Coturnix japonica: one gene and its partners. The protein of the gene in region 2 purifies or fractionates together with the protein of the main gene of each other region. This does not show direct contact. Links are inferred from orthologs where the notes say so. Each region holds a gene or a part of one and is shown on either strand. Other genes may lie near its edges. The genes, in order: HTRA2, ARMC8, ZMYND19 and MAEA.

What was found.
Region 1: the proteins of ARMC8 (region 2) and HTRA2 purify together in Homo sapiens (affinity purification with mass spectrometry; 5 studies listed by BioGRID and IntAct, with this or other methods). This does not show direct contact. The link is inferred for Coturnix japonica from reciprocal best matches to the Homo sapiens genes ARMC8 and HTRA2.
Region 3: the proteins of ARMC8 (region 2) and ZMYND19 purify together in Homo sapiens (affinity purification with mass spectrometry; 4 studies listed by BioGRID and IntAct, with this or other methods). This does not show direct contact. The link is inferred for Coturnix japonica from reciprocal best matches to the Homo sapiens genes ARMC8 and ZMYND19.
Region 4: the proteins of ARMC8 (region 2) and MAEA purify together in Homo sapiens (affinity purification with mass spectrometry; 5 studies listed by BioGRID and IntAct, with this or other methods). This does not show direct contact. The link is inferred for Coturnix japonica from reciprocal best matches to the Homo sapiens genes ARMC8 and MAEA.

The regions. Positions count from the first base shown.
Region 1 is NW_015439533.1:473,262-481,160, forward strand, and holds the end of HTRA2 (serine protease HTRA2, mitochondrial), read left to right. Parts: intron 1-748; coding exon 749-1,217; intron 1,218-1,442; coding exon 1,443-1,475; intron 1,476-1,772; coding exon 1,773-1,881; intron 1,882-2,420; coding exon 2,421-2,490; intron 2,491-5,382; coding exon 5,383-5,478; intron 5,479-5,756; coding exon 5,757-5,922; 3' UTR 5,923-6,132; downstream 6,133-7,899.
Region 2 is NC_029524.1:2,441,821-2,449,016, forward strand, and holds part of ARMC8 (armadillo repeat-containing protein 8), read left to right. Parts: intron 1-3,307; coding exon 3,308-3,368; intron 3,369-4,409; coding exon 4,410-4,610; intron 4,611-7,036; coding exon 7,037-7,132; intron 7,133-7,196. UniProt on the Homo sapiens protein: Component of the CTLH E3 ubiquitin-protein ligase complex that selectively accepts ubiquitin from UBE2H and mediates ubiquitination and subsequent proteasomal degradation of the transcription factor HBP1.
Region 3 is NC_029532.1:876,328-884,298, forward strand, and holds the start of ZMYND19 (zinc finger MYND domain-containing protein 19), read left to right. Parts: upstream 1-2,855; 5' UTR 2,856-2,944; coding exon 2,945-2,995; intron 2,996-3,155; coding exon 3,156-3,215; intron 3,216-4,066; coding exon 4,067-4,173; intron 4,174-6,362; coding exon 6,363-6,503; intron 6,504-7,231; coding exon 7,232-7,412; intron 7,413-7,971. Other genes in the region: protein STPG3, read right to left, coding at 350-480, 1,422-1,527, 2,205-2,284, 2,374-2,377. UniProt on the Homo sapiens protein: May be involved as a regulatory molecule in GPR24/MCH-R1 signaling.
Region 4 is NC_029519.1:76,605,685-76,612,880, reverse strand, and holds part of MAEA (E3 ubiquitin-protein transferase MAEA), read left to right. Parts: intron 1-3,339; coding exon 3,340-3,462; intron 3,463-5,914; coding exon 5,915-5,991; intron 5,992-7,196.

The DNA of each region.
Region 1 (7,899 bases), on a different chromosome or scaffold from region 2:
TCACCCTGCCTTATTGTCACCCTGCATTACGGTCACCCTGCCTTATGACCGGCCTCAGTGTCACCTGCATGGGCACTGCAGGCGCTGCTGGGAGCCCTCAGTTTACAATAGATGGTACCATGTTACTGTGGGCCTGGAAGTGTTTTCCTGCAGCGTTTGCCCCAGGCCGTTCCCAAAGGCAGAGGGTGAAACTGGCCGGTACTTGGGCCCCGGTGTCCTCACGTCCCCGTTGTCACGTTGCTTTGATGCCTTTTTTCATCAATTTAGAGCCCCCCTGAGCCACTCTGACTGTTTGAAGGTCACAAATAGACTCACAGGGACACCAGCTCACCCCGTGTGGCCCTCACAGCAAAGCTCTGTGTTCAGGTTGTGTCTTTCCATAACCTGAACTGCTTATCTGTCCCAAAGACACCAATGTCCACCGCAGCTCTTTGTTAGTGTGTGCTTCCCACTGCACCTCTGTGGTCCTCATGGGGAGACGCTTTTGCCATTCCCATGGATTTCTGGTTCCTGCTGCTTGCTGCCCCATAGCGCACACAGTTGTGCAGACTCTTGGGATGGACACCCAGCGCGGGGCTGTGAAGGAGCTCCCATGTCCTGCTGTCATCCGGGCATCTCCTCACAGTCTCCCGCTGCCGTCCAGCCCACCATGCTGAGCCATGCAGCTGCCCGCTGGCCTGGCCTCACACATACCCACTGGTCCCCTCTGGGCCCCCATGTCCTCCCATGACCTTTGCCCACCTTGCAGGCACCCATTCTCAGGCCGTGAGGTGCCCATCTCGAACGGTTCGGGGTTCGTGGTGTCTCCTGATGGGCTCATTGTGACCAACGCTCACGTGGTGGCCAACCGGCGCCGTGTGCGGGTGAAGCTGGCCAGCGGGGAGCAGTACGACGCTGTGGTGCAGGACGTGGACCAGGTCGCAGACATTGCCACCATCCGGATCAAGCCTAAGGTGCGGGGCACTTTGCCCAGGGGCTCCCTTCCTCTCCCGCCTTCTGCTTACCCGGTTCCTCTCTTCCAGCACCCGCTGCCCACGTTGCCCCTCGGCCGCTCCTCTGAGGTGCGGCAGGGAGAGTTCGTGGTGGCCATGGGCAGCCCCTTCGCCTTGCAGAACACCATCACGTCCGGCATTGTCAGCTCCGCGCAGCGCGGCAGCCGGGAGCTGGGCCTGACCGCCTCCGACATGGAGTACATCCAGACGGACGCCGCTATCGACGTAAGGGCGCAGGCTGGGCTGGAGCTTCGTCCCGCTGCCTGCTCTGGGGAAGGGCTCTGTGTGCTGTGAGGTCTGGGCACAGCAGGCTGGGAGGAGGGTGCTCCTGGTTGGTGATCTGGCTGTTTCTCAGCCTGAGCCCTGTTCCCTGGGCTCTGCCTGCTCACTGTGGGGTAGTGTTTGAGGTTTGCTTTTGTGGCCTCATTGCTGCTCTCTCTGTTGTTCCAGTTTGGGAACTCTGGTGGTCCCCTCGTCAACTTGGTAAGTTCTCCTGCATGTATCCCAGTGGGCCTTTTCTCCTGGGGCTGTGTGCCCTCAGTGGGAGCACTGTGCAAGTATCCTCAGCTGTCAGGAGGGAAGGAGGAACTGTGTGCTCTCGGCATCTTAAAGGGTGGGATCAAGGAATTAGCGTGGGGTGAGAGCTCTGCTTGGTGGGACTCATCCCTGCCCGGCCTCAGCAGGGTCAGACTGCCCAGGGGGGGACGGTGCGCAGGCTTTAAGTTTTGCACAGCTCCATAAAGGTGCAGGTTGGAGAACACGTTGCCCTTTTCCATGCAGGATGGCGAAGTGATTGGGGTGAACACTATGAAGGTGACATCAGGCATCTCCTTTGCCATCCCCTCAGACCGGCTGCGGAAGTTCCTGCAGAAGGAGGAGCAGCGCAAAAGTGAGTTGGATGCCTCTCTGCTCGGGTGGGAAGGAGGCCAGAAGGAGGGTGATGACAGAGGGAAGAAGCTGTGGCATAGCTGACATAACAAGACATGGGCATGTGGGCAGACATAACAAGAGGAAGAACCTTTGGAGAATAGGAAGATTCTCCCATTGGGCATGAGGCAGTGAACCCCTCTGCCATGGCAGATCCATTTGCTCATCTGCCACAGATAAAGACTTCCAGAGTTTCCAAGAACTCTGCCTTGTTTTTGTTCCTTGGGGTTTGTGATAATTTGTTTAGTGCAGATTCTTGCTGTCTGGTTCTCACATTGACATCATGATATTTGCTTGGTATTCTCAAGCAAAACAGTGATGTTTTAAACCAAGAAAAGAAAGCATGCAATGCACTGAAATTTTCTGTTGGTAGGGACTCGGAATCACTCGGAATCACTGCCTTGAGGCGTGTTGGCTTTGTGATGTGCTGGCTCAGCCCCGTGCTTTTTTGAGCACATGTCTGTGTTCAGTGTTGTTGTCAGAGATCCTTTCTGCCCACAGGCTCCTGGTTTGGCAACGCGGAGACGAAGCGCCGTTACATCGGGGTGATGATGCTGACTCTCACACCCAGGTACGTGCTCTGAGGTCAGGGGGCCCTGATCTTGCTGGGAGTTTTTGAGAGGATCGTCTTCACAAGGTTAAGTGTTCACCTTCAAAAATCTCTTTGCTGCTCTTGTGTTCAGACTCGTAAGTTGTGTGTCTGGGGTTAGTTAGAAGCTTGCGAATGTCTGTGTTTGTGGCAGAACCTGCAAGCAGATAAAAAGTCTCTAAATCTGCCGCATTAGTAGCTAATTTCATTAGGAGTTCCATAAAGAGGCTTTGCAACACAGCTACCAGAAATGTTGTGTAATTAACAGACGTGTGTTGTACCAACTGAAAGTTCTGGTGTAAAATTTGTGCAAACTGTGCTCCCTGGGGGATGGGTCTGGCAGGTGAACTGCTGTGCTGCTGAAATCAGGGCAAAATAAGGGACCTTCAGAATGAGAATGTGCACGTTTGCCTGCAAGAGATTTGGCTGCTGGGGAAGGAGGTAGGCACGTTACAGAGTGGGCTGTGTGGGTACCCAGCGCTGCTGCCTCTCAGTGCTGGCAGGAGGAAGCTTGGGGGCTGCCTATGGAAAGAAATGGTCGTGCTGAGCAGGACAGCACTGGAAAATGGAAGGGGGTGACTTGCAGGCCTGAGACTTCACCATCCTGTCTGTAGCCTGGGAGGAGCACTTTGTTTCCTCTGCATCTGAAGAAATGCTCTGGTTAACAAAGGATTGCAGCCAGACTGCAGCCAGACTGCTTGCTTCAGTTCTGCTGGCCTCCAAGACACACGAGCCAAACACAGCACCCCGGGGCAGATGCCCTGTGTGCTGTGTTAGATGTGCCTTGCTGAGTGCTGGGCAGCCCTGGTCAGGCCTATGAAGGGCTGAGCAAGCCCTGAGATAGAATTGCCACTGCTTCACACGGTCAGCTGCTCACAGCCTCCTAGGTGGAGCGGTTGGCTTGCAGTCTCACCTCTGAGCAGCTTTCCTGTTCAAAGGTATTGTGTGTGCCTGAGCAGCTCTCAAGAGATTCCTGGGGCTCAGTATGTTGCTGGGGTTGGTGGCTGCATGTGCCTGGCAGAAACATATTTCAGGGCTGTGCTGTGCCCCTGCCAAAGTTCCGGTGGCTCCTGTATGGTTGGTTGAGTTTGTGGGCTGGATGCCACGAGCTGCCCGGGCTTGTTATTGGTACACAGGCATGAGGCGCTGCGCTGCCCCTTGGATTTCAGGGCAGCAGTATGAGCGGGGAGCACTGCCAGCAGTGCAGTCATGCCCAGCAGATGGTGCTCGTGCTCAACGTTGGAGCTGATGCCGGGGCCTAGGGAGCAGACAGGACAGTCTGCTGCATGGGGTGGTGGCGTGGAAATCAGGCTGTGGAGGAGGTTCAGATCCACCAGTATGAACAGAACTGAAGCCAGAGGCAGGTACTGTCATCTGAGAACAGAGCCCATATAGGTACCCCATTTTTGCCCATGAAAAGTTGTTGCTGAGATTCAGATGGTTCTTTAGGGAGGAGAGGAAACAGCTGGGGAAGTGTCTCCTCAAAGATTGATACAGGGTTGAGGAAGGCTTGAGCTCCCACTGCCCTGCATTACAGCATGCAGCAGGTGCAGACTGAGCAAAGGACTTTGAAAACAGAGATACTGGTTGCTGGAAATGAGTTCTACATTGAACAGATGCAGTGCTGGTGAGGGATGTTACCGTGGAGACATTAAAACATGTGGGTTGCTTCTTCATGCTGTGTGTGATAGGACTTGCTGATTTTGTAGGATTCAAAAGAGCAAGTGGCAAACGTCACAGAAACAAAATGTTGCTGGTTGTCACATGCTCAGGAGCAGCTGGAGGCACAGTGTCACCTGCACAATGTCTGTAGATGCGCCCTTGGTCTGAGTGACCTCTGTACGGGGGCTGGCTGGGATGGAGATCATTGCTGTTTTAGCATCTTGTATGGTACCATGGTTTGGATTTGTGTTGATAACAGAGTCACAGAATCACAGCACAGTTGGGTTGGAAGGGACCCCAAGGATCACGAAGCTCCAACCCCCCACCACAGGCAGGGCCACCAACCTCCCCATTTCATACCAGCCCAGGCTGCCCAGGGCCCCATCCAACCTGGCCTTCAACACCTCCAGGGATGGACGGGGCTGGTGTAGGACCAACTCCCTTCCAACCTTGTCTGTGCTGTAATGCTGTGACATCAAGAAGAGATGGCAGCTTGCAAAGCTCAGTGGGGGAAAAAGAAGGGCAGTGCAGTTCAGCAGGGACTGCTGCAAAGCAAGGAGGCATAACCAGTGGGGAGCAAGGAGCTGGGTGCTGTATTTCATGGGGTTCCAGTGGATCTGAGCTGGTGCAGAGGCTGTTTACTTAATGCACAGTTGTGAGATCCAGCTGGAGTGTTGTATCCAGTGCTGGAGAACCCAGAAAGGAGCAGAGAGAGGTGCAGAATTGAGAGCGAGGGCTGGAAAACCTGATCTGAGGGAATACTGCAGGGACGGGGGCTGCTTAGTCTAGACTCCAGCAGAGAGACAGAGGTCTACTTCTGCTTGACATTTCTAGCTAGAACAAAAGGACATAGCTTTCCTTCTGTGACCTGCCCACAGGACAGGGAAGTGAAACTTAAGGACAGGAGGTGCAAATCTGACACCAGGAAAGCTGTCTGATGTGGGGCTGCTCAGACACAGGACGTGCATCGCCAGCAGCTGGGATCCAGCTGGCAGCAGTGCAGCAGTTTCCAGTTCTCCCCAGCACAGTCAGGATTAGTTTTTGTCAGGAATCTGGTGGCATTGGAGTGACCTCAGGGTTGGCAGCCGGTCACTTGTGCAGGGGAGCAGGATGAGAGTTCTGCGGCATTATGAGCCCAGTGTGGTCCTGGCTGGGTGGGAGCCCTGCTCTGCTCCCAGGCTCAGTACCGTGACGCTCATTTTCACTCTGCAGCATCTTAGCTGAGCTGAAGCTGCGTGACCCCAGCTTCCCTGATGTCTCCTATGGAGTGCTAATCCACAAAGTGATCATCGGTTCTCCGGCCCATCAGTAAGTGCTGCCCTGTGCCTCGGGGTGGGATGGGTTTAGCTCTGAGGGTTTTGCTGTGGGGCCTGCAGAGCAGGCAGGCTGCAGCAGGAGCCGACTGGTGCAACATGCTTGGGCTGGGCTTGGCATCCCTTTGGCCAAACTACCTGTGGAGCTGAAGGAATGCCTGGCACAGCAGCCCCAGCTTCCTGAAGTGCCTGGCTCTCCTTCCTTCCTGGAGGACGAAGCCGCAGACAAGCGTCTGCTTCACTTGCCATGAATTTCGTTCCTTCTCCCCTCAGGGCAGGCCTGAAGGCTGGCGACGTGGTGCTGGAGATTAACGGCCAGGCGACGCGCCGTGCAGAGGATGTGTATGAGGCAGTGAGGACTCAGCAGAGCTTGGCCCTGTTGGTGCGGCGCAGCTACGACACTTTGCTGGTGAGCGTGGTGCCCGAGGTCACAGAGTAGTTGTGCTGCAGCGCAGGCCGCTCTGTCTGCTGGCTGATGGTGCTGGCCAGGAGCCGGGCACGCAGGACTGAGGCACAGCTGTGTGCCCATAGGGGAGAGACTGGGAGCTCGCAAGGGCCTGGAGGGGCCCGGCAGGGGGCCCGGCACTGGGACAGACCTGGTGTGAAAGCACTCCCCTCCTTACTCAAATAAAGCACTTTTCTAAGTGCAGCGTGGCCTCTTTTCCATGGCACACGATGTCCTGAGTGTGACCTGGGAGCAGCTGGGCTGTGTGAACCTGCTCCTCCTGCCATTCTGCAGCTGGGAGGAGCAGCGATCTCCTTCGTGCTCGGGGAGAGGTGTACTGTCAGATCCTTGGCACTTATATGTGGGCTGTGATCTGCTTCCTCTGCCCATAATGCCTCCTGGGGGCACCTTCTCTGCAGGTGAGAGCAGCCCTGGAGTTGCAGAGGGTCGGGGCTTCTTGGGCAGAGCCATCCCTGCCTCCTCGTGCAGGCTGAGCTGCTCCCAGCCAGAGTTCGCTGCTGTGGCCGCTCCCAGGAGGAGCTGGCTGTTGTCCTGTGGGTCAGATCACTTCCACGTGGACCAACCACTCCAGTGTCAGTGTCCGTCTGCACTGAACGCAGCCCCTGGGTCACAGGGGGAGGATGTTCAAGTGTCCCGGCTCATCCAGCCCAGGGCCCGGCAGGAGCAGCGTGCGGGCAGCCGGACGCGCAGGGGAACCTGTGCGAGCTGTGCACGCTGCGCTGGCGCCGTCCGTCTTTCCCTCCCCATCCCTCCCCCAGCTGGTCCGTCAGCCCGGAGCGCCGCGCTCCCACGCACAGCGCGTCCCTGGGGACCCGACAGGCCCTTCCCCGCTGCCCGGCTCCCTCCCCGTCCTCGGCAGCTGGCGGCCAAGAGCTGCGCTCAGAACGAGCCGGGGGAGCAGCTCGGGCTGTCCTCGCTTTCCTGGAAGAGCCGCGCTCCGCTCCAGCTCAGCGCGCTGCCAGCGGCCGCGGGAGGCGGGGAGCGGCGCTGTGCGGGGCTGTGCGGGGCTGTGCGGGGCTGTGCGGGGCTGTGCGCTGCTCGGAGCTGTGCGGGGCTGTGCGGGGCTGTGCGGAGCTGTACGGGGCTGTGCGGGGCTGTGCGGGGCTGTGCGGTGCCCTGGGGCTGTGCGGGGCTGTGCGGTGCCCGCTCCGGCGGCAGGAATGCGAGCAGCGGCCGCGCTGTGCCCTGCCCTGGTGCTTTAGGAGATGAAAGGAGCACAGTTCCTGGGGGGGCTGTGGCGGAGGGCGGCTCTGAGCCCTGCGGCCCGAGACAGAACAGGGCTCCTTTCACGCTCCCTCTGGCCTCGCCGCTGGAATTTGTTCGCCGGCACAACCCGCCGCGGGAGGGGCTGCGGCGCAGGGGAAATAGCTGGGACGTTTCTCGCATAGCTGCTCCAGCAGCGCTGACCGCAGCGCTTTCCAGGGCCGCAGCCAGGACCTGCCCTGCTGCGCTCTGCAGACAGAGCTTCTGTCCGAGTGATGAGCGCTGCGGGATCTGAGGTGGCCCCACTCAGCTGAGTCCTGTACCCCACATCTGCCCAGTCTCAGTGGCTCAGTGGGGCTTCGTTCCCCCATCAGCCCCGTGGGGCCGCTCCCTGTGAAGGCAGCCCGGAGCTGCAGGCCCTGTGGCTCACACCCGGTGGGGCTGCCGGGAGGTCGCACTGCTCGGGATTCCTGCTGCATAACATCTGTGTTGCATCTGGCGTGGGGCGTCCTGTGCTGCCCCGTGTCACTACTGAGCCAGGGTGGCCCCATCTGCTCCCACTGCCGTGGACCTTCACAGCCCCGAGGGCTGCTCTGGAGCATCGCTGGGCCCCTGCAGCCCCTTCAGTGCCCTGCAGAGGGGCAGCTCCTCTACCCCATGCCAAGCAGCCCCGCTGGGCCGTGCCCCCTTCCCCCTATGAGTCAAGAAGTTCCCTCTGACATCCAACCTCAGTTGAGTCTCCCTCAA
Region 2 (7,196 bases):
AGTAGCTTGAATTTGATTATAAGTTTTATGTTAAATAGGTTATAGTCAGTAGTTTGTCCTTACAAAGTATAATACCGAAATGTAATTGTGTACTACCAGATAATGTGCTTGTTACACCACTGTCCTGAGAGTTTGCTTTGGAGACTGTGGCTGTGGTGTATTGAGAACAGTAAGCCCTCTCCTAAAATAAGAAGAGAGCAAGACACTCTCTCAAATGGTTTAATTAAGCATAGATTGTTTTTTAAACTTCATATGTTCATGCAACAGAATTAGTTACTAATTTATTTTAAAGTTCATCTCTCAACTTTCCCTTTTGATATGGGCAGATTCCTGTATGTTCATGTACCTAATGACTTTGTACCTTGTGACAAAATGTGACTGAATTCTGTAACATTAACACTAGGGTTTCACACTCGATAAGCTGGGAGCTAACTCTGCTTAAGACCCTTTTTCTTCTCTTATATTGATGAGATGGAGTAAATAAATGACTTCAGGTGTTTGAAGAGATATGTCACTATGAACTACTAAAATCTAACATGATTTGAGTGTTTGGTCATTGATTATTTGATTTGGTCTCCTTTAATTCTTTCCATTTACAGCTAGTCCAGATTTTAGTGGCTTATCTTTGGCTTACAGCAATGAGTTCTCTCATTCTATTCACCAAAATAATTTCACTGACACTTGTCAGAGCAAAGGCTTGAGTTTCTGGCTGAGGAATAAGGATGGGGGGAGTAGGAGGATGGTCTCTTTTGTCACGTTGCCAGGTTGTGGCAACTTAACCCATTCATGAAAGCAATTATAAATAAGTGTACGTTTGGGGAGGATTGTTTTAGGAAGGTAATCCCACTGTGTGGTGGGAGGCTGGACTGGGGGCCTCCTGCATTCCCCTCTAGCAAATCAGGTTTTCTTCAGGTACTGAAGGGGAGGCAAGGTAAATCAACTGTCTTGAAGAAGTCTGTTGTGATCGATTTGTGTTTCTTTGGCAGTTCAGAGAAAACAGAGAATTAGGGTTAAAAAACCGAGTTCATGAGAACAGGTTATTTTTTTTAACTTAAGATACAAGAGCATCGGTTAGTTATGAAGGCAAATTGCAGTTAGAAATCTATTCTGGCTTTGGTTTCTTCTTGTTCTAGGATAAACGCTCTCAGATATGTTGGTATTCTTTACTAATCTGCTTTGATTTGGAGGGATTTGGCTGGAGATTCTCTCATTTTTGGCTCAAATGGACTTTTGAAAGCACAGAAGAAAAAATGTGCAATGAAAAGCAAAAAAAACCCTACAAGAATGAGGGGAACAAACCAGTGTCTTGTGCTTCAAGAGTGGGCTCCTAATTAGCCTGTGGGCAGCCCTCTTTCCTAGGGCACTGAAGGTATCAGTTTCATGACAGTGTAAGGACTTCAAAAATCTACTGGCTTTTCTTCTCTAAATCTGTTCCCTGCTTGTATCCCTTAAAGTAAGTCTGTATCTCTCTTCACTCCTACTCCTTCTAGGCTGGAGTAGTAGGTGAAATTGTAACTGCTTTTCTGATAAAAAATTAAGACTTCACTTTTGATGTGCCAGCTTTTGTTGATTAACGTGGGATTCCTCTCTGGTTTATTGGTAGAGTCCTTAGAATACAGAAGTAGAGTTATTTTGGTGAATTTCTGAAGCCTTCTGCTAAGCTGGTTTTAATCTACATACTGGTATACAGGGATATCTGAGGAAGCTTCCTTTGCTTTTCAACTGTTCAAGTAGACCTGGAAGATCTGACTTAATACCTCTTGATTGAAATGGAATAAGGATCCTTCATTTGAACGGTGATTTTGGCAAAGAGGGAGCAATAAGTCGGCCTCTTGGGGGAGTGATTTGCACCTATAAGCAGAACAGTTTAGAGAAGAGCACCTTTTCTACTGAAATTAGTGTAATTGCTGCCATCTAAGCCAAGCCTATTTATCTGAAGTACTTTAACTTACTTTGTGTTCGAAGTTGAGTCAGTTTGTCCTGCAAACAGTATCGTAACAGGAATTAATGGCAGCTGCAAGACTGGTGTTCTCCTCCTGATTGTTCAGACGTGGAAATCAGTATTTCCAGCTGTAAGATACAAAGTTTGAACAGAAAAGTTTAGAAAATAATCTCTGTGCTGCCGAGTTGTATCTGTTTAACTTCTGAGTCATAATAGCTAAAATCTCATAATCAGTGCATTTTTATTCACGTCTTTCATTGGTAGACACTTGGAACAGGTTAAATGATGTTATTAAAGATGTGGGAACTCTGGGTTCTTTTAAAAATCATAGGAATGCAGTGAAACATGGTGCTATTAAGGTTGGCATATTATTATGGGCAATTGTGATTGGCCTTATATATGGTTTCAACCAGTCCAACCAAGAATTGAAATGGTAGTTTTAAGTCACCTTCTTTAAATGGCAGTTGGTGGTTGGTTTTTTTAACCTCCCACTTGCGACACAATAAAAGCTAGTTACAATGGCTTAGTTTGAAAGCTAAAACAAGGTACTTGACTACTCCTGTACTGAGTCTCCTAAATTAATGCCAAGCTCAAATATTTCTGCAGATGACACCAAGCTGGCAGGAAGTGTTGATCTGCTTAGGAAGGCCCTACAGAGCCATCTGGTCATTAGGTACATGAACATACAGGAATCTGCCCATATCAAAAGGGAAAGTTGAGATCTAATGGAACTAGTGATAGGACTAGAGGGAATGACCTCAAGTTGCACCAGGGAGATTCAGGTGGTTGGACATTAGGAAATACTGCTTCTATGAGAGAGTGATAAGGCACTGGAATGGGCTGCCAGGGTGGAGAAATGTTTGAATGTCGTGCTGAGGGACGTGGTTTAGTGGGAAGTATTGGTGATAGGTGGATGGTTGGACTTGATCTTGGAGGTCTTTCCCAACCTTGGTGATTCTATGACTTAAACTGTCAGCCCTCCGTTGACCCTCTCCTTATTAGTCCTTTCCTGTGCTGTGGGCAGTATAGGACAGATCTGTGCGTATTGCTGTTTTATCCTAGTGAACATAGTTAACTTTGTTTTGTTATTGTAAGAGATTTGTACATCAGTCGAGCTTCTTGGTTAGTCCTTTTTTTGACCTGTGTGGTGTCCGTGTTGGTCAGTGCTCCAGCAAGATGTTCTGTGCTATAAATCTCCTTGCAAGTGTGTGTGTTGTAATTTGGTCATGTGCCTACAGTTAGCTCAAATGTATGAAAATCAATCAAAAGGGGAGCACATTTCATTAGTACAGCGGGTTGTTCTGCAGTGTTTTAAGTGCTAAAAACCAAGGATAAGTGAATTTATGTTTTATTGTGTTGTCACAGCCTTACTTCCATGTGCAGAGCTGGAGCAATACGGACAGATGACTCTTGCATCGTTCTTAAGGTGAGCTAGTTAGACAATTCTGTTTAAAACAGCATTTCTATAAGGATCTACTCCTGTTTTTATTTGTCTAGTATAAAAAGTAGTGCAAAGCCTGTTAAATAGGTGATCTCAAAGCACCAAGTTCTAATGATAGTAATTAAACAAACAGTTGTTCCCTAATTGCCTTAAAACACTTATAGCAGTGTAGCTCTTGTAAGAACTTTTAGATACCAAAATGTTGATATCCAGCAATAAATATTCCAAAGTTTGACACACAGCAGTTTAAGGTTTGTAATGATGTAAGTAACTGTTTGTAAGTAACATGGAAACCACATCCCTACCTTGATCTCTGCATGCGAACAAGGCGCTGTTATCTGTTTCAGAAGCAAGTTTCAGAAGACTGTAGTCAAGACAGAAGACAATAGTCAAAATGCTTGCACAGTGTATAAAAGGAGCCTGTCAAAATCAGGCTGTTCCTCAAATTTCACAGTAGTTTTGTAAGTTTGTCTGAACATCAGTGCTTCATAACTTGGTTAGGGTTGGGAGAGTTGTCTGCAGCGCGTCAGGAACTGTCCCTATGTCCAGTGTTCTGGTAATGCAGGGGAAAGGGCAGTTTCTTTATAAGATGCTGCACTAAGAAAACACGTTTCAGTGTTAATCGCAGTTGAGTATGGTACATTTACACTGTTTGCTAGGGGGAATTTCGTATCTGCCATTCAAGGTAATTACAGGTGAAAGTCCTCATGTTGGCAGAGTCAAATTTCTATCTCTCCCATCTTTTTAAGCGGATATCCAAAATGCAGTTCATTCCAGTATCATCAGTGTCAGTAGTGACATCTGATCTAAACTCTTTTTCACTGCATGAGAACTTGGTTGAAAGTAGCCTAATGTATACTCAGTATTGCCTGAACAATTTCTCTGTAGTCTTTAAAATACTTTTTGTCTGAAGGTACCTGTTCAAATAACATTACTGAGAATTGCTTTAAAATAGCTGTTCGAGTTTCTTTATGAACCTAGCTGTTCCAAACAGTATTTTGTTTTTATTCTTTTTAAACTCATCAGACTCTGCCATGTTTGGTTCGAATGTGTAGCAAGGAGAGACTGCTGGAGGAACGAGTAGAAGGAGCAGAAACTCTGGCCTATTTGATTGAAACAGACGTGGAACTTCAGAGAATTGCCAGCATTACTGACCACCTCATTGTCATGCTTGCCGATTACTTCAAGTATCCCAGCTCAGTGAGTGCAATCACTGATATCAAAAGGGTAGGTTCTTCTGCTGAATCTTTGAAAAACAGTAAGAAATGGGCTCAAGGTGTTTCTTTATTCTGTTTAGCTCAGCCTTATATCCAAGTTCTTCAATGGAAAGGTTGCCAGACCTAGGCTAGGCCATGACCCTAATGCAACTAGGCCTCAAGTCTTTGTTCATTCTGGAGCCTGTAATATCCAAACAAAGAACTTTGTGTATATTTGGGCTCTACATCTTGTAAGAAGGATTTTGCTGTTCTTTGTGGAACACAGGAAGATGGTTTCTGGATAGTTTAATGCAGCTTCTTCATAGGATTTTCATGACATTTCCCAATGTAGTAGTGAAATACTGGACAAGGGCATCTGTCATGTTGCTCATGTGCTGAGTTTACAAGTTTACAGCTTCAGGAGCCGCTGCATTTCGTCTTCATAAGAGATAATAGTCCATGTGATGTGGATGGTGTGAATTCATAGGTGAAGTTGTGGAAAATGTTAAGTTCAGAGATGGTTCTTTTCTGTTACGCAGAAAAACCTGGATGCCCTGTATATCATTTCACGTTATCTCCCAGATGTTATCTGCACTTGCAAGAGGTTGGATAAACAATGATCCAGTATACCTTGGAGGCTTATTATCATAGGTGTTTTAGGAGCTGTTCTATTCCCAGCTGTATATACACTTACCAAAGCACTAGTAGATCAGTCAGTCTTGGAAACAGGATTGTTCTTGATATTCCTTGTAGGGAAGTATCGTTTGTCAATTCCCTTTTTCTCTCATTCAGTTTAAAGAAAGTACCCCAAAGAAGTGGATTACAGAGCCTTTGTTTTTCTTTGAGACTGTCCCCAGGGGTGGACACACCTCTCAGGCTTTCAAGGGATTGAATTGATTCTGCACGTACAGTTGCTTTTAAGTAGATGTAAAAATGCAAATTAAATATTAAAAAAACTGTTGGTTGCACTTTAGATAATAAGCAGAAGGAAAATGAGCATTTGACTGGGAAGCAGTGAGTGTTGGTGGTAGCATCAAAAACATGGCAAAGGTTCTGAACAGGAGTGATTATAGGTATTATGACATGGCTTTAAGTGTTCAGAAAGTCTCTAAAAATAGTCACCTGGAATGGCAGGGTGCTTGTTTGGAGGAGAAGGAAAAAAACTCTTTGAATTACTCCCTAGAAGGTAAAAACAGGATGAGTGTGGACTTTACTGAACAGATTACTTATTGTTGTTAAAATATTAAAAATAGACATAATACATTCTGCTCTAATGGTGTATCTGTACCAGGGGAAATTGTTCGTACAGCTTAATTTTGGACAGTTCTTTCATACCAATAACTTGTCGCTTAATACTGGCATTTTTCTGGCATTTTGAGTAGGCTTAAAATGTTGCTCTGTTATGTGGAACCCTTTGGGTTGGAGTTTGCAAGGGTGTCAATCATAGAGCAACTCTGCTTGGTAAGGACATGAAGGGATTGTCTAGTTGGCTATTGAGAACTGCTAACAATGGTGATTAAACAGCTTCTCAGTGCATTCAGTTCCAGTGTTCCCCAGGTGAATATGAGTTAGAACCTCACCTGTTCCAATCTGATTATTGTCTCCTCTTTCTTTGCACCTCCATAGAGAGTCCACCTTCATGTTCTTTGTAGTCTTCTTGAGGTGAAGGCTGCTCTTATGTCTCTGCTCAGCCTTCTCTTCTCCTCGCTGACAACCAGGGTGTTCTCTTTCAGCTAATGCAGGTCTACTATCCCAAAGTCAAGGCTTTGTATGTATTCTGCTTCTTGCCTTGCTCACACCTTGCAGGAGCTGGGATGCCACTATTATCCCTACAGCCAAGTGTTCCCACTTGATTATCATACCCAGTACAGTTGTTCCTGATTTGTGAGTCATGTGTCCCGTGATGCATCACCCTAATTCACTTGCCTAGAACCTGTGTTGTTACCTTCCCCAAACATCTAGGCAGTTAGCACTTTGATGTGTTGCCCTTATGACAGGAACTGGAAGTTAACAATCGCCTTAAGCTCTAAGTCCTGTGGTTGAGGGATGGGCTTCGGTTCTGTTGATAAAACTTTTGATTCTGTACTAATTTTTTCCACTTCTTCTGGCTTGTTCCTATAAGTTTCTGTTGGGTAAATAAGACTGCTTTTCACCTTAATATAGTCTGAATGGAGCAGTAACATCTGAGAAGTGTTTTGGCATCAAAATGTTGTAAGCAGATGTTATTTAAGTTGGCTTATCTGTAACTCAACAGTGACATTAACCATACCCTTAAATTATTGTGTTCAGATGATGAGCGTGGACATCAGCTGATGAAACAGCAGGTTGTTTGTATTTCTGGCTGTTCTACGTGTGATAGACAAAACCCGAGGAAGCAGCTATTAGTGTACAGCAAATAAGGAAATACCACCCGTAATTTTTAGCGTCTATATTTGATATCTGTATTTATTTAAATAGCTTGACCATGATTTGAAGCATGCCCATGAGCTGCGCCAGGCTGCTTTCAAGCTGTATGCTTCCCTTGGAGCAAACGATGAAGATATTCGAAAAAAGGTGAGCAAAAATGTCCGCAATGAGGCAGAGCTATAGGTGAAGGGCAGTGCAAGAGCTTGGATGT
Region 3 (7,971 bases), on a different chromosome or scaffold from region 2:
ACTTGGTTCAAGCAAGCATTCCCATGTGCAAATGGCGAACACCTCTGACTGGAGAGCTTTGTGAGCTGCTTTTTAGTGCCAAGTGTAGCTGGCAGCTACAGCATTTGTGCCTGATGGGATGGAGCTTGGCCTCGTTCAGCCAGCAGGGGGAACATCTGGCTTAGGTGGCAGTGTGGGCATCCCTGGTGCAGGTTCTTTGCTCAGACTTCTCGTGTCTTTTATCAGGAAATTTATACCAGGGTTTTCTGATGACCAGAAAAAAATACAGACCATTCAGACTGAGGTTGAGCTCCTGTGTATTTTTAACTACTGAAGAGGTTGTGGCTGGGGTGGAATTCTGCAGTTTATTTCAGAATGTTGTAAAGGGGCCGATGTCGTGTCTCTTGGGTCTCCTGACTCCTTGGATGGTGATGCTGCGGGAGCTGGGTAAGCAAGCTCGATAGCCTGGGTCTACATCATATGCTCCAGGTCCTGGCGTCTCTGAAATTAAAAAGAGGCAATTTGTGTTGGTATTTCCCTTTGGGAGTTGTGAAAAACAAGTGCCACCTGGCCAGGCTGCTCCAAACCATCTGATGGAGTGTAAAGAAACTTCCAAGCTCTGCTATAACAACATAACCAACCTGTGATGGAGAGGTGCTTTGGGCTTGATGTGCATTGTATGTGACAGGGTTTGATGCTTGGTGCTCACACCTGAGTGATGTGGAGCTGTTAGTGAGGTACTGCTGCAGCGTGCAGGTGAAACCAATGTTCTCTGAAGTTCCTGGGTTAGAACTAGCATTGCTCTATTTCCATGTGCTCTCCTTTGGGGTGGCACAGCACCAGGGATGGTGTGTGATGTCAGGCTGTACAAAGCTGAAGTGGAATAATCCTGGTGATCTGAATGCTTTAACTGACTTGGGTGCTGCTGAGCCCTGCTAACAGTGGTGTTATGAGCACAGTTCACTTCGGCCCCACCAGCATCCTGGGGTGGGGAGGAGCCTTCTCAGTGCACAGCTATTTTTCTGAAGGGAGTGGGAATGAAATTCCTCCCAAGATTCTGCTTAAGCCTGAAGTGTGGCTTTGGGCTACGCTGCCTGAGTGCACAGCAGTCATGCACTAGGAATGCATCTCGTACAGCTTGTGAAGCATAAAATGTACATAATGTTAGCATGGAGATCAGGAGAAATCACCTGTTTGCACATGACTGGACAACAGGCTGCTGAGATAAGGCCTTGTGCCTGCTCTGCTCTGTGCTGCTCTGCCCAGTGGGGAGAAGGACAGAGCTTCCCAAAGGTGGACATCTTCCACCTGAGATGCTCATTGAGCAGCAGTGCGATAACTTCACATTGGGCTCATGGGCAGGAGTGGGATGTGCAGCTGCAACAAGGGGTTGCCAGGGTCCCTGGATGAAGGCTGGGCTGGGTGGGGGGGGTTGTGCTGACCGATAGGTTTACGGTTCCTGAGAACATCCAGGTTTGTCCGCTGCTCTCTGATGTAGGGTGGGTACATGGCTCCGTCAGGCTGAGGGCAGCACAGGCTGCACAAGGGCTGCAGTGAAATGGAGAAAGGCATAACACAAAATTACCTTCTATTCCTTCAAACAGCCTATACATCAGCCTATAGCTGTACCACACATCCCAGCCCCGACTATCAGTCTGTAAGATCTCATGCAGCCTCATCAGCAGCTGCAGGAGCTCTCCTGCTTTCTGCTGCCCTTTGTTCCTCCAGCTGTTTGTAGGGCCTTTCTCTGGGGGGGACCAGGGAATAAAGCAAAAGAGCAACATCCCAGACACTTATTTTTAACTCTTTGACTTGGAGGCTCCAAGCAAGGAGGCTTTGGTGCTCTCCAAGTGAGCTCTGCTTTGGATTCAGCACATTCCTCACCTCTCCAAGAACACAACTTGCAACAGATTCTGGCTTTGTGTAAGAAAGAACATCTCCAAGTGGCCCCAGGCTGCGATGGGGACACTGCTGTGTTGGGGGGACCTGGGGAAACACCATTGTCCAGGCTGGCTCCATTCCAGCTGAGGTTTGCAATGATCATCACTGATGGGGAGGGCAGTTCGGCAGAGCGGTGCCTCTTTCAGAAGCACCTTTAGTTTAAAGAGCTTTAAGGTGCTCGCTAACCTCAGCCTTAGCAGAGCCCCTGCTCTGCCAATGGTTCATTTCATCCCACCCAAACTCCCGAGGCAGGAGGCGCAGGGACGGACACAGTAAGAACCTACATTAAATCCATGTTCCACCTTCACTCTCCTGCTGGCCGGCCCCGAGCTCGGACAGTTCTTCCCACTGCGGCGCGATGCATCTGTACGAGGACAGACGGGAGGAGCCGTATTGAGCCCTGTGAGCGCTGCCCACGGCCCCATTTATTTCCCCACATCCCCCATATTTTACCCATGTTTCCTCTTCTGCCCGGATCCGGTCACTAGTTTGGATGCAGCAGCCCCGGCCTTTCGGTGCTGCCCGTTCGCTCCGGTTCCCGCGCACAGCCCCCGCTTTGTGTCCAGGCCGCTGTCAGGCCTTCGGGGCTTCGCTGTGCCCCCCAGCCTCCAAGTTTCGCTCTATTTATCGCTATACCCATAACGCATCGCCCCGCTCCCGGCCCATTTACCCCCGTTACCCCCCCGGCCCCGCCCCTCCCTCCGTTCAGGCGGCACAAAGCTTCCCGCGAAAGTGACGTCACCGCGCGCGCCGCCTCCTCCCGCTCCCGAACCCGCGCCCGCGCGCGCCCCCATCCAGCTCCTCCCGCCCTCCTTTCCCACGTGACCCCGCTTCGCGCCGCTCTCCCATTGGCCGCTCCGGCGTCGTCGTGAGATCGACGCGCGCATTTCCCGCCCCGCCATTGGTCGCTGTGTGTGTGTGGCGCTGGGAGGTGGCGCGCCGCCCCGCCCCCCCCCGGTGTGCGCCTGGCGGCGGCGCGTGGCAGCGGCTCCCGCGCGCGGCTCCGAGTTGGCGCGGCCCGGCCATGACGGACTTCAAGCTGGGCATCGTGCGGCTCGGCCGCGTGGCCGGGAAGGTGCGGGGGGATGGGATGGGGATGGGAGACGGGGGGACGCGGCGGGAGGACGGACGGACCGAGGGGGGGGCGCGGCCGGGAGCGTCGGGCCGGGCTCGGCCGCACGGAGCTGGGCCGGGCGGAGCGCGGGGCGGCGGCTGAGCGCGGTGCTGTGTTACAGACCAAGTACACGCTGATCGACGAGCAGGACATCCCGCTGGTGGAGAGCTTCTCCTTCGAGGTGAGCCCCGCGCCGCCCCGGGAACCGACCCCGAGGGATCCGCTCCCCGCCCCAGCATCCGCCCCGGCCCCGCAGCCCCCGACCCGCCGGGCAGCCCCGCAGCCCCGACCCGCCGCTCCGTCCCCGCCGCCCGTTCCCGTCCCAGCGCTGCCGGCCCGTTTCCCGGCGCTCCCCCTGTCGGAGTGGGAAAGTTGCGAGGTTCCCTCCGCACGTGGGAGCGGATCCGTCCCGCCCCGAGCTCTGCTGGTGCCGCCCGCGCCCCCGGGGCTGGGAAGGCCGAGCGCTGCCGGGCTGTGCTGAGCGCTGTGCTGAGCGCTGTGCTGAGCGCTGTGCTGAGCGCTGTGCTGAGCGCTGTGCTGAGCTCCGAGCTGTGCTGAGCGCCGCCGCGTTTCCTCCGCGCGGCCATAGTGACAATAGTGAGGCCCCACGTGCGGCGCTGCGTCCGGCCAGGAGAGGGGGGGAGCTGTGGGGGGGTCCAGCACCTCCATCGTGGGGCGGGGGGAGAGGAGATCCGGGTCTGATCTGGGGGGAAATCCTTTCCTCAGAGGGCGGTGAGGCCCCGCAGCGCTGCCCAGAGCGGTGGGTGCCCGTCCTGAGGTGCTCAAAGCTGTGGATGGGCCCTGGGCAGCCTGAGCTGGGGGGGTTTGGGGTCCATGTCAGCACAACCATCCCATGGAGCCGTAGCAGTAGAGGTTCGTTCTTGCTGGAGATCTGAAACAAGCACAATTCCACGGCAATTCAGTGTCCTGTGGACACGTGGGAGGTGCTGCCTGTCCCTACCGCTGTCCCACTGCAGCTCACTCTCTGCTGCTCAGCACCAGTTGATCTCACGCTCTTCCCCTTCTCTCCAGGCTCGCATGGAGGTGGATGCTGATGGAAATGGTGCTAAAATATTTGCTTACGCTTTTGACAAAAACCGTGGAAGGGGATCCGGCCGCCTGCTGCACGAGCTGCTCTGGTGGGTATCACAATAGGGCCCGGGGCTGTTACTGCACACAGCATTTGGGGCCTCATTCAGAGCCCAGAGCAGTGCTGCAATGCCCTGGCCTGGCTCTGTTTTGCACCGTGCCCTGAGATAGCTGATGCTCCAATAATGTTATTTCTAGGGAGGGTGGTTACAGGTGAGTATTGTGTTGCTTCAATCTGGGAAATGCGACTGAATCTTCACTTGGGGCTTCTTCTGTCCTGAGATGAGCAGGTAGGTGAGAAGTGACAGACTGTGGATAGAGCAGCTGATAGCCCACAACTTAGGGGACTTTGCTCGTCTTTCTGGATCCTGAAGGGTGCTGCTGCTTCCTACACTGCTGTGTCTGCTCCCCTTGTGGCAGGGAGCTTTGCCTGAAGTTCTTTGTAGCTGCCATTAGGACTCAGAGCCCAGCAACTGGTTGTCAGAGGCACTTTGTAAATGTGTTCTTCATGGGTTTATAGGAAAGCTGGGCTATGTTGAAGAGAACCATTATTTATTTTTAAAAGCCTTTTCTGAAGAATTAAACATGCTTTCTGTTCAGTCCCATAAACTGTAATGAAAGAGCACCCAAGATCTCCCTGTACTTTCTTCATTGCTTGAGGTTACTTGTTCTCCCCCAGCTCAGTCCCTGGATGAGAGAGGCAGGAAAAACGCCAGGCACAATTACTCTTATTTTAAATCTGCTCATTAAATATGGATTTTAACCTGCTCTGTTATTGTTTAATCTGACAGTACACAACTTTGGAAATGAGTCAGAATTTGGCTGCACTGTGTGGTGTGAGTGGGGCTGTCAGCCCCTGCTCACTGTGCAGCTCACAGCAGAGCCTGCAGTGCTTGCCTTGCTCCAGCGTGTGCAGGGCTTTGCGTACAGCTCAGTCATTGCCTCTCTCATTAGCTGGACTTCTGTTAGGAAACAGCTGTAACATGCTCAGTTGGGTAACTCAAATCGTGTGACTTCACCATAGTGAAGCTGGTGTCAAACCCCCGAGGTTCTGAGTGATGGGGATTTTTGGAGGCGAGCTGTGAGCTGCCCTGCAAGCCAACCTGCAGGTCTGGAGATACAGTCAGGTTCTTTGGGAAGCACTGAGCATTTCAGCTGTTCTCTAAAGTTGGTTTGGTCCCTCTGAAGGCGTCTGTTTTGCTGTGGTCTTTAATTACACGCTACCACGAGGCAGCTCGGTGCGCTTTGCTGCCTGAGCCTCCTTGTATCTCTGAGAAGCCTCTTGGCTGCAGGTGCTGCGTAGTGCTGACCCTCCTATCAGCACGCTGTGCTGCTCTCCTTGTGCTGCAGCTGTTCTGAAAACAAACCTGCAGTGTGTTGAGCTGAAGGACCATCCCCCGCATGAGCTCTGGGACAGCAGACAGGGCTGCAGGGGCCCCGTGAGGGAGATGGGTGGCAGCACCCATCACAGCTGCATTTCCTGCATGAAGGAGAAGCAGAGAGCTTGAGTTACTGCATGTAGCGGAGTGCAGGTGTTCCACCTGTCCTGTGCATCCCCTTCCTCAGAATCTCACTCTAAAGGGACAAACCTGATGCTCCATCAGCCCCTTTCAGCAGACTCTTTTCCATGCTTCTTCTTGGTTTCTTCCCTAAATCCAGGCTGGCGTGAGTTAATATGCAGCTGTTCCTACTTTGGGTTCAAGCAAGTTGCAGTAGTTTCTCTTAGTCAATATGCAGGCATTGCAGGCTGTCTGTTATTCACAATTAGTCAAAAATATTCGCCTGTTTGGTGGTGAAAGCCCTGTCCTGTTGCTTAAGAGACGTACTCAGTAAATGAAAAACTGACTCACGCCAGTGCCAAACTTGAACATATAATAGAAACTATTAATATTAAAACAGTAAAACAATATTAGCTCCATTCAAGCTGTAACATTAATAATTACATGGGTGCTGGTGCTGAAACTGGAATGATGGTTTCTGGAGGTTTCTGTGCAATATTCTTAGAATTCAAATGTACCAGGATTGTCTTCTGAGTCAACTAATTTATAATGGAAATGAGCTCCTGAAACAGATCTCTGTCTTCTGGGAGCTGATACAGCTGAAATACCCACTGCAGCCCGAGCTGTATCGTCACCGTTTCAATGGCAGCAGACTAGGAGGCCTCCTGGAATCAGGGCAGTGCTTGGGGCTGCGGAGCATCGCTCGTTGCTGAGCTTCAGGATGGTTTTGTTTCCTGCAGGGAGAGGCACCGCGGGGGGATCGCTCCGGGATTTCAGGTGGTGCATCTGAATTCAGTCACTGTGGACAACCGGCTCGACAATCTGCGCCTCGTCCCGTGGGGGTGGAAACCCAAAGCTGAGGATCTCTCCAGTAAACAAAGGTGTGTTGATGTTTGGTGGGGAGATGCCATCAAATGATGCTTGCCAACATCTTCAGTTGTTTCACCTCTTCTGTTTAGTGCTGTCCATCTTGGCTGAGCCCGTTTATTTGACCTCGGGCTGCTTATAGCATCGCAGTTTCACATTGCTCATCTGAGAAAGACCAGAGTTAGTGCTGACCATGCTACGAAGGGTCGATCTCACCCCATGGCAGTATGTAGAGGTTCTGCTCTGCCAGATGTCACCACAGTCAAGCAGGAAACCTGCATTCCCTTCTGCTTGGATGGTGGCATTTGGGGACAGTTCAGCCTGCGGTTCATGCAGGCTCATGGCTCATTCTCAGGCACTGAAGCTCAATCACAGCCTGCAAAAGTCAGTGTCTGCAAAATGCTTCTGTCTGAAATAGTGTAATTAGGTTAAAAATAAGTTCCTGGGAACAGCTTCTGTTGGTGTTCACTGCAGGTTCCTACACACCATGTTGTGCTGATGTTACTCCAAGTGCATCAGATCCTTATATTGGGTTGGACTTGTTTCACCTGTGATGGGGAGGCCCAGGAATGTTCATTTTTGGTGAGGGACCCATAGGCTGAATTCTTTGGCATTTACACCAGTGTAAGGCTGAAAGGATGCTGTGTATGTGAGAAAACTGTATAGTCTGAGCTGTAGCAGATTCAGTGTGATGGTAACCTTACCTTATTCTTTAACAAATGTGTACTTGCTTTTTTTAAAGGGAACAAAGTCTGTATTGGCTGGCAATCCAACAGCTCCCTACAGACCCTATAGAAGAGCAGTTTCCTGTCCTGAATGTAACACGATACTACAACGCTAACGGGGATGTTGTGGAGGAGGAGGAGAACTCATGCACATACTATGAATGTCACTACCCCCCATGCACAATGATTGAAAAGCAGGTGTGTCTGAAAGAGCTGGATGTAAAGATGACGACTTGGGCTGCATCTGTAGGGGAGGGGAGAGGTTGTTTCTAAAACCAGCGAGTTTTGCTGGCTGCATTCAGTTGCTAAGGGCAGAAATTCTCTTTAACTCAGGTGTTCTTCAGCATGGGCTTTTTCTACTGTGATTCAGGCTCTTGAGACTTCTGTACAAGTGTTTATTGGGGCTTCTGAGAGGAAGGATGTGGATTTTAATTGTCAGTTTGAGTGAACGTTGTGTTGAATTGGGATAAGAAATGACCCGATGGTTTGCTGGGAGGAGCATAAAGGCTGTGATGTGCACAGACAGGCAGGTGGGAGCATTCCAGGTCTCTGATGACCCAGAATTTGAGAGAGCTGTGTGAGGCTTCTTTATCAGATATGGAGGAGGCATTTTAAGGCTTTGAACTGTAGCAGAGTAAAAAAATTACGTGCTTGACCTTTCATGTGATGAGAGCGAACTTGCACGGCGCTTATTCAGCGCTGAACTGCCAGGAAAGCAAGTTGTAGCTCTTTGCTGTGGGCAGATGAAGTGGAGCAT
Region 4 (7,196 bases), on a different chromosome or scaffold from region 2:
TCAGCTCCTGCTGACAGTGATCAGAGCTCAGGATGCCCTCAAAGGAGTTGGACGTGTATGTACATGCTTGGGGATGTTCTTACCCAGAACTTGTCTCAGAGAAAGAAAAATACATTTATAGGGCTGTGGTTTTTATGTTGGCCCGGAATATATGTAGTAATTGTCATAGGAAAGGAATCCTCATTCTTCACAGTGTTTTATACCTTAATTATTGAAATTCTGTGCAGTGTTATAGGGTTGGTGGCTTTTCTCCCTGTGAGCACATGCAGCATAAAAAGTAGTGAAGTTTAAAAGCTATATATATGTAAATCATGCTGAGCACAGGGTGATGGATAGATGTATAAAGAAGTGTCAGGTTCCACATAAGTGTCTTCAGTCTTAGGGTGTGATATTTTTGTAATAGGTTATTTTTTTTTCTGTGAAGTTTAAACTATCATAATGGAATTGAATAGTTGCTTTGTGATAATGCTTATCCAGTGCTTAGATGTTACCCTTCTGGTACCTGGTGGGTAGATGGGAAGTGAGGTTGCCTTGGGTCCAATAGTTATAAGCAGAAACAATAAAATATAGCTGATAATTCCTTGCTTTGTGTAGAAGGAAGAGGAAGGTTCTACTGCTTTCATTGTGTAATTGTTGTTAATATTTATGGCCAGAGGGCTTTTTGTCCTACTTAGATGTAGGTTTGCCATTACTTAGTCCTCCTATCAAAAGTTAAGTGTTCTGCTTTTGTGAGTTAATTTAGGCAGTGCTATCAAGGAGATACATGGGAGGCTGGAGTTGTGCTTGTATGTTGTGGTTTGATAACGCTGTGCAGCATAGGCCTTGTTTGTAACTTTGCAGTCTGGGAATAAAATACTGTGATCTTTTGGTTTTTAGTGTGGAAACTGAAGCTGTGAAATGAGGAAACACTTTGCAGTGTTGTAGAAGATGATAATTAGAGTACTTAAAATTGCTTTATAGCTTATATGCAGGCTGTGAGATAGGAGTAGTTCTCTACAAAACATAGTGTTGACCTGCACAGAAGACCTGTGCCATTTTAAAGCCACATGGTCCTTCCATGCTCCATACTTTTATTTCATTAACAACAGCTAAAGAAATACACTGTGGAGGCACAACCAAAATAGGGAAGTGTGATCAGATATAAGTCACTGTAGCATATGTAGGTTTTTTCAAGTATATTGCCTGATTGAATTTTAGTATTCTTATTCTGCTAGTGTGCTTAATTAAGACTTAGAACTGTTGGTTATCAAATCCATAAGCCATTTCTTTCTCCACAAATGGATTTCTTATATTGTTCTGTTACTTCCTACCTACTCAACAGAGAACAAAAACATTTATTGGAACAATTTAAATGTGGTGGTAGTTCCAAAAGAAAACCTTTCAATTAAAAATATTCTGTTTTCTGGATACATACTGTCTATTTAATGGAGGCAGCTGCCAAGCTTTGACACCTTTTTGGCAGACACAAGTCCAATTGATGTGTCTGTACCAAATAGCATCTTTTTTATTTTAAGTCTGCAAAAGGATTGTAGGAGTTATTTTCACTTTGAAGTTCTTCTTGTTCTCAGCAGCTGCTACAACCTCTTTTCCCTCAAGGAATAGCTGAAGATTGCTATACTATCACCTCACTGATAAATGCTTTTGGTTGGGTTTCTCACCAGTTCATTGACCTATAATGCCTATGTGAATCTTCAAAAACACACCATACTTTTGATGGAGTCAGAAAAGGCCAACAAATGTGAACAAAAACAACAAAACCAGTGATTTCTTGGTATACCTTGCATATCTAGACCATTATGAAAGTAGAAGTAAATGATTTTGTTGTAATTTGATGTGAAAATAAATGCTGCTTACTAAAGGGGGGTGCATGTAACTTGGTGTGGGGAATGCTGTTCTTAACTCTAGTCATTTTTAACAGTTGTATGGAGAAATAGGCAAACAAGATAATGGATATGGTGGCATTGAATGTCAGATTGCTCATACAGTTGATTTACATGGGCAAGATTCATTTCCTTCTATAAACTGCTACTACTTTACTACTTTAGCTCTGATCTCAATCTTATCTGGATTTGGTAACTTGAGAGTTATATGTCAGTTTAATTTTTTTGATAGCATAATGCTGTTGTTAGAGTCGTAACACATAAACTTTGCCTATGACTTCAAAAACGAATTCTTAAGTCATGGAGAGAACTTTAGGAGAAGTTTTTGTGCTTAACCACTTACACTCTAATTTAGAAGTACATGAAACATGTCTGCATCTCTGTAAATAACCATTCTGACAAAACTAGTCCAATCTGGCCTGCTTTTCCAGTAAGAGGCTTCCTGTATCTATAAGGAAAAATTGGCTGATGAAATGCAAGCTGTGAATGTGATATGCCTGGCACCATTTCTCTGCTTTTTAAGTTTGCCTCGGGGAAGTCTAAGACTGAATATATTCAGCTGTTCTAACAGCTGAAAATGCCACCTATTCCAGAGAGTGGTTTGGTTCACTGCAGCTACTCTAACATTTGTCATACTTAGCATTTCAGTTGTATGATTTTCTGCATTTTGCTGTGAAGTCTCCATAAAAGTGAACTTGTTCCAAACTGGTGTGTTAATCAAATATTTGATAGCGGCTTGTTGCTTGTGTATTGAGTTATGGTATCTCACAGAGTATCTTCTTTAACAAAGTGTGAACTGTAACAGCATGATATGTTTATGCAGCTCAGAAATAACTTCTGGTAGTGCCAGTTCAGAGTGAATCTTATTCATATAATTTGGAAACAAACTAAATGCTTTTTGAGATATATATGGGAAAAAATAACTTGCTAGCCTAGAAGATCTTAAATCTTCCTGGGTTGTGTTATCCTTGGTTGGTACAGATGTGTAAAGCAGCTTGCAGTGAAGTAGCAGAGGTACAAGGCTTGCTCCAGACAAACTTGATACCAGATGCTCCTCTTTAAACATATCTACTTCCATTAAGCAATGGAGGAACTATATACTATAGACATTGGCATAGTCCACTGATGTAAGACAAGCATTGTGGATACCAAGTATTCTTGGAAATGTGGATTTACACCCAGCTGGTGAGATCTTGTCCATTTCCTCGCAAAGCTCCAAGATGTCATCTTTATTTCTTTTTCCTAGTTCTGGTGCATAAATGGGTTTAGAAGAGTCTGTCTTGGCACATGGAGATGCGGTGTTCACAAAATTGTTACAGCAAATTTTAAGTAAAGTCCTTTAAAGATGTCTCTGAAACAGTCTTTTATATCTCCGTGCTCCAGTTGGTTAAATGGATTGCTGTGTAAAATATCAGTATGATTTAACAAGCTGTGCTTTCCTTTTTCTTTTCTATTAAAGGACTTAGTAAATATTGAGATGTTTTTGACTGCTAAAGAAGTGGAAGAGTCATTGGAAAGACAAGAGACTATGACTTGCTTGGCTTGGTGTCATGATAACAAATCCAGGCTCAGAAAAATGAAGGTATGAAAACAATGTCAATGTTTTGCCTAAGCAGCGGTTCTCTAAAGTATTTGGTTATTTGATATGGTCAATTTGGTTTAAATTATAGGTTGTGAATAAAGCCATATGTAAAAGTAAGGGAAGTAAGTACAAAATGTATTTGTTAAGGTTACTGGTGCTGAGCTAGCCCAAATGAATGCCAAACTTTAATGCGATGTGTGTAGTAGTGTCTCAGAGCATGTGAATCTGTGTGTATAGCACTCAGTATCCAGCTGAGAATGTAGCTCATAGTTCATATATGAACAGTGAGACTAATTTGTAAGCCTGTGTCTGAGAGGAATATCATATGGATTTGTCTTAATATTTTTGAAGTGCAATATATGTAAATATAAAACTAAGCAGACTTGAGTGAAGAAGTAGCTTTTTATGAGGGAAGTACTGAGGACCTTCTTGCAAAAATAAAAGCAAGTCTTATCGAGTAACAAACACGGTAAGTTGACTTCTAGCTATTGAGTACTGAGTGTGACCTGAACATGCTATTTCACTGTGTTCCTGTGCAGTTGGTTTAAATTTCCTTGACTCTTAAATTCTACATTTAAAAACAACGTTATAGTCTCTTTCAGGGCTTGCAGAAATCTGTTTGACTGTATTAATCAGAATCTCTACTTCCTTCAGTGGTTTTGGTGTTTTCAAACTAAGCTTTCTTTAAGGAAAAGATATTTAAGTATCCTTAAAGATAAGCAATGAGTGACATTCTCTGTCAATCGGGCACCAAAATGAGAATGAACCAAAGATGGGACACAAGAGTAAAATGACCAGTGATTACCCTAAAGAAAATGATCTTTTAATGGAAAAACCATTAAAGGAAAACCAGAATTGGCATGTAAACAGCATTGCATAGCTATACCACTGGGAAAACATATGTATCTATATAATTTTAATACAGCAAGTTATGGAAGAAATTAACAGCCGAATATCTTTTTTCATCCCTGATCTTTGCCAAACAAGTAAGGATAAAAATTTTCCCTGTCATCCTTTGAGAATGGAAGAAAAATACTGCAAGCCCTACTCAGACAGTCTCTGCAGATTGGGTTTTCTTGGGGGATGGTAGGGGAGAGCTGTGAGACTTTTCTTTACTGCTGAAACATGTTAATGAAATAACTGAGCCATTGGGATTGGTATCATTAACAATTTGGAAAGTTTTATTAATTTTCTTTAATAGAAACCAACATAACCAATATTCTAAATAAGGCTTTTGTGTAGATCTGAACAAAAGATCTTGAGTTCTATTTGAAAATTGCAAATAAAAAGAAATCTTAGTTCTTTGCAAACCATGGACTTGAGCACAGAGAAAGGTGTACTTGGAAAGTAACGTACTTCCCACTCCTTAAACAAATGTACCTTAACAGGACAGAACGTATCACTTTAAGCAGCTGACATTTCTAATCTCAAGACAAGAAATTGCTGTAATGTGCACATCAGAGACCCCATGCAGTTAATTAACTGAAATTTGGAGTTGCTCAAATTCCTCCTGAAGTCACTGAGGGGTTTTGGATGGTATTGTACTGATGGATGATAAACAAAAGGCAACTGTTCATCAGAAGCTTTGGGGAACAGAAAATAGATTTGCCTAACAGAGCAACTCAGTGTAATTCAAAAACACAGTTATTTTTTGGGATTCAGAAAGGGTTCTAGTTTTTGGTTGTTAGGGTAATAAAATAGTTGACTGTGTCCTTATATAGAGGCATAATGGCTTGTTCTTTTAGGAGGGAGAACCTTTTTAATTCTATATATATATAAAATTTTTAATACAGAATTTTTTGTGAACTGATGATGAAATTTGATTTAAAGAGACACTGTCAATTTCATTAAGCTTCAAATTATATTTTCCCCAAGCAGGTAAATGTCACTTGGTTTCCTTGTTTGAGATTTGTTTTCAGCATGGCTTTTAGATGTTTTGACAACAGCAGTGGGTTAGAAGCTTGGAAAAAAGGGAGCTGGGGAGAGAAGGACCACAGCAGTCTAGACTCAGTGCTGCTTTTCATAAGAGGAGGGTGCTTTCAGAATGAGTTTAAAGACTTATTTCTTCCTTGCAGTCTTTTGGGTCAATCTCTCATGTCTTAAATCGGCCCCAACCTTCTACTGAGTTATTGCTTTTAACTTTAAGATAGTACTGAGAACTCACCTACTACTCTTACTTGCATCCCAAAAAATGATGATTTCAGTCATCAAGGAAATGTTCACTTTTTGTAAATACTGAAGTTTGGAAGGAGCTTTTTGTTTGCTTTTAGGGAATTGTGTTGCTGTCTTGTCTGTAGACAGCATTTCTACTTTCTCTGCATGAATACCTAAAAGCAAGCAAACAAGGTTGCATGTAGTTAACACTTCTTTGTTGTGCACACATAGTATTTAACATCTGGAGAAAAGCATGGTTTTGACACCATCTGAGACCCTGTCTTGTCTTTGATTTCAGAGCTGTCTGGAGTTCAGCCTAAGGATTCAGGAGTTCATTGAACTCATTCGACAGAACAAGAGACTGGATGCTGTGAGGTATGAAAACAGGATGTTTTACAAATGTTTCTTACAGCAATAGAATGCTTCATCAGTAATGTGACTGTTATTGCAATACCTGAAAGCCCCATAGCTGCCACTAGTCTTGATAGTGTTATTGTGATCAGGTTTTGGATTTTAGTTGAGGTTATGGTGTTTTTTTGTGTTTTCCAAAGGTAAGGTGTCAGTCCAGGTGCAACTTTGAAAATCTGTTGTTATTTAAACTCCACATCTCCACAGACTCCACAGTTAAGGATTACAAAGCTGGTTTTAAAACTAAGTATTCTGGTGGTGTGTAATGAACGTACTTATCTTTCAAGATGTACAGGTAGTTTCTGGTAGGAACTCATTGCAGTTTTGTTACAGGAAGTACTAAAAGGTGAAAGAAACACATCTGAAGCTTAACACTTCATTTGACTGAATTGTCTCCTGTTTTGTTCTCACTAATCTTGTTTGTTATAGTTGGGCATTAGGCTAAGTTTGCTTTTTGTACTTCTTGTATTGAATGGATAACTTGGTAATTCCTTGTTATGTGATAACAAGTCATGTCTCATTCCATTTCCCTAGCCCCAGATAAACTCAGTATCCATTTTATCGCTTGAACTAGTTTAACATTAGAACTTTGAGAAGAAAATAACACTGCCCAAGGTGATGTGAATGAGTGAGAGTCAAATTAGGTCTGACCATGGCCTGGCTTCAACCACAAGATGGTCTTTCTGGCACTTACAGTCTATGAGTCAATTTATGCTTTTCAGTTTGCAGTTTTGATGTAAAGTCTTGAAATAATATTCCAGGATAATACAGGAACCAGTTCTGCTGAAAGAAGTGGAAATTTGATAGTGTGACTATAAAATGTGTTGATAATTCTTATAAGGAGTACTTTTTCCAGCACCGTAACTTTTGATGCAGGGGCAGAGCTGCTGGATCTTAGACATGGAGAAGGTTCTGGTTCTTTTTATCTTTAAGGATATTTAAACCTAGGGTGAGATGACAAGCTTTATGGACAGATTTCATGCTTCTTTAATACAGTGCAGTGATATCTGTTACACCTTAAGATTTCTGACAAGTTTTATATTGAGGAAGTGGTAAGTATTACTGCCTTTGAAGTTGTACTAGAAATTGAAACCAGCAGGAGGTTTGTATTTTGTGGAAAAGCTGCTTTTCGCTCTGAGGAGTGCGGAGCTGTAGCAAACATCAAGTATCAT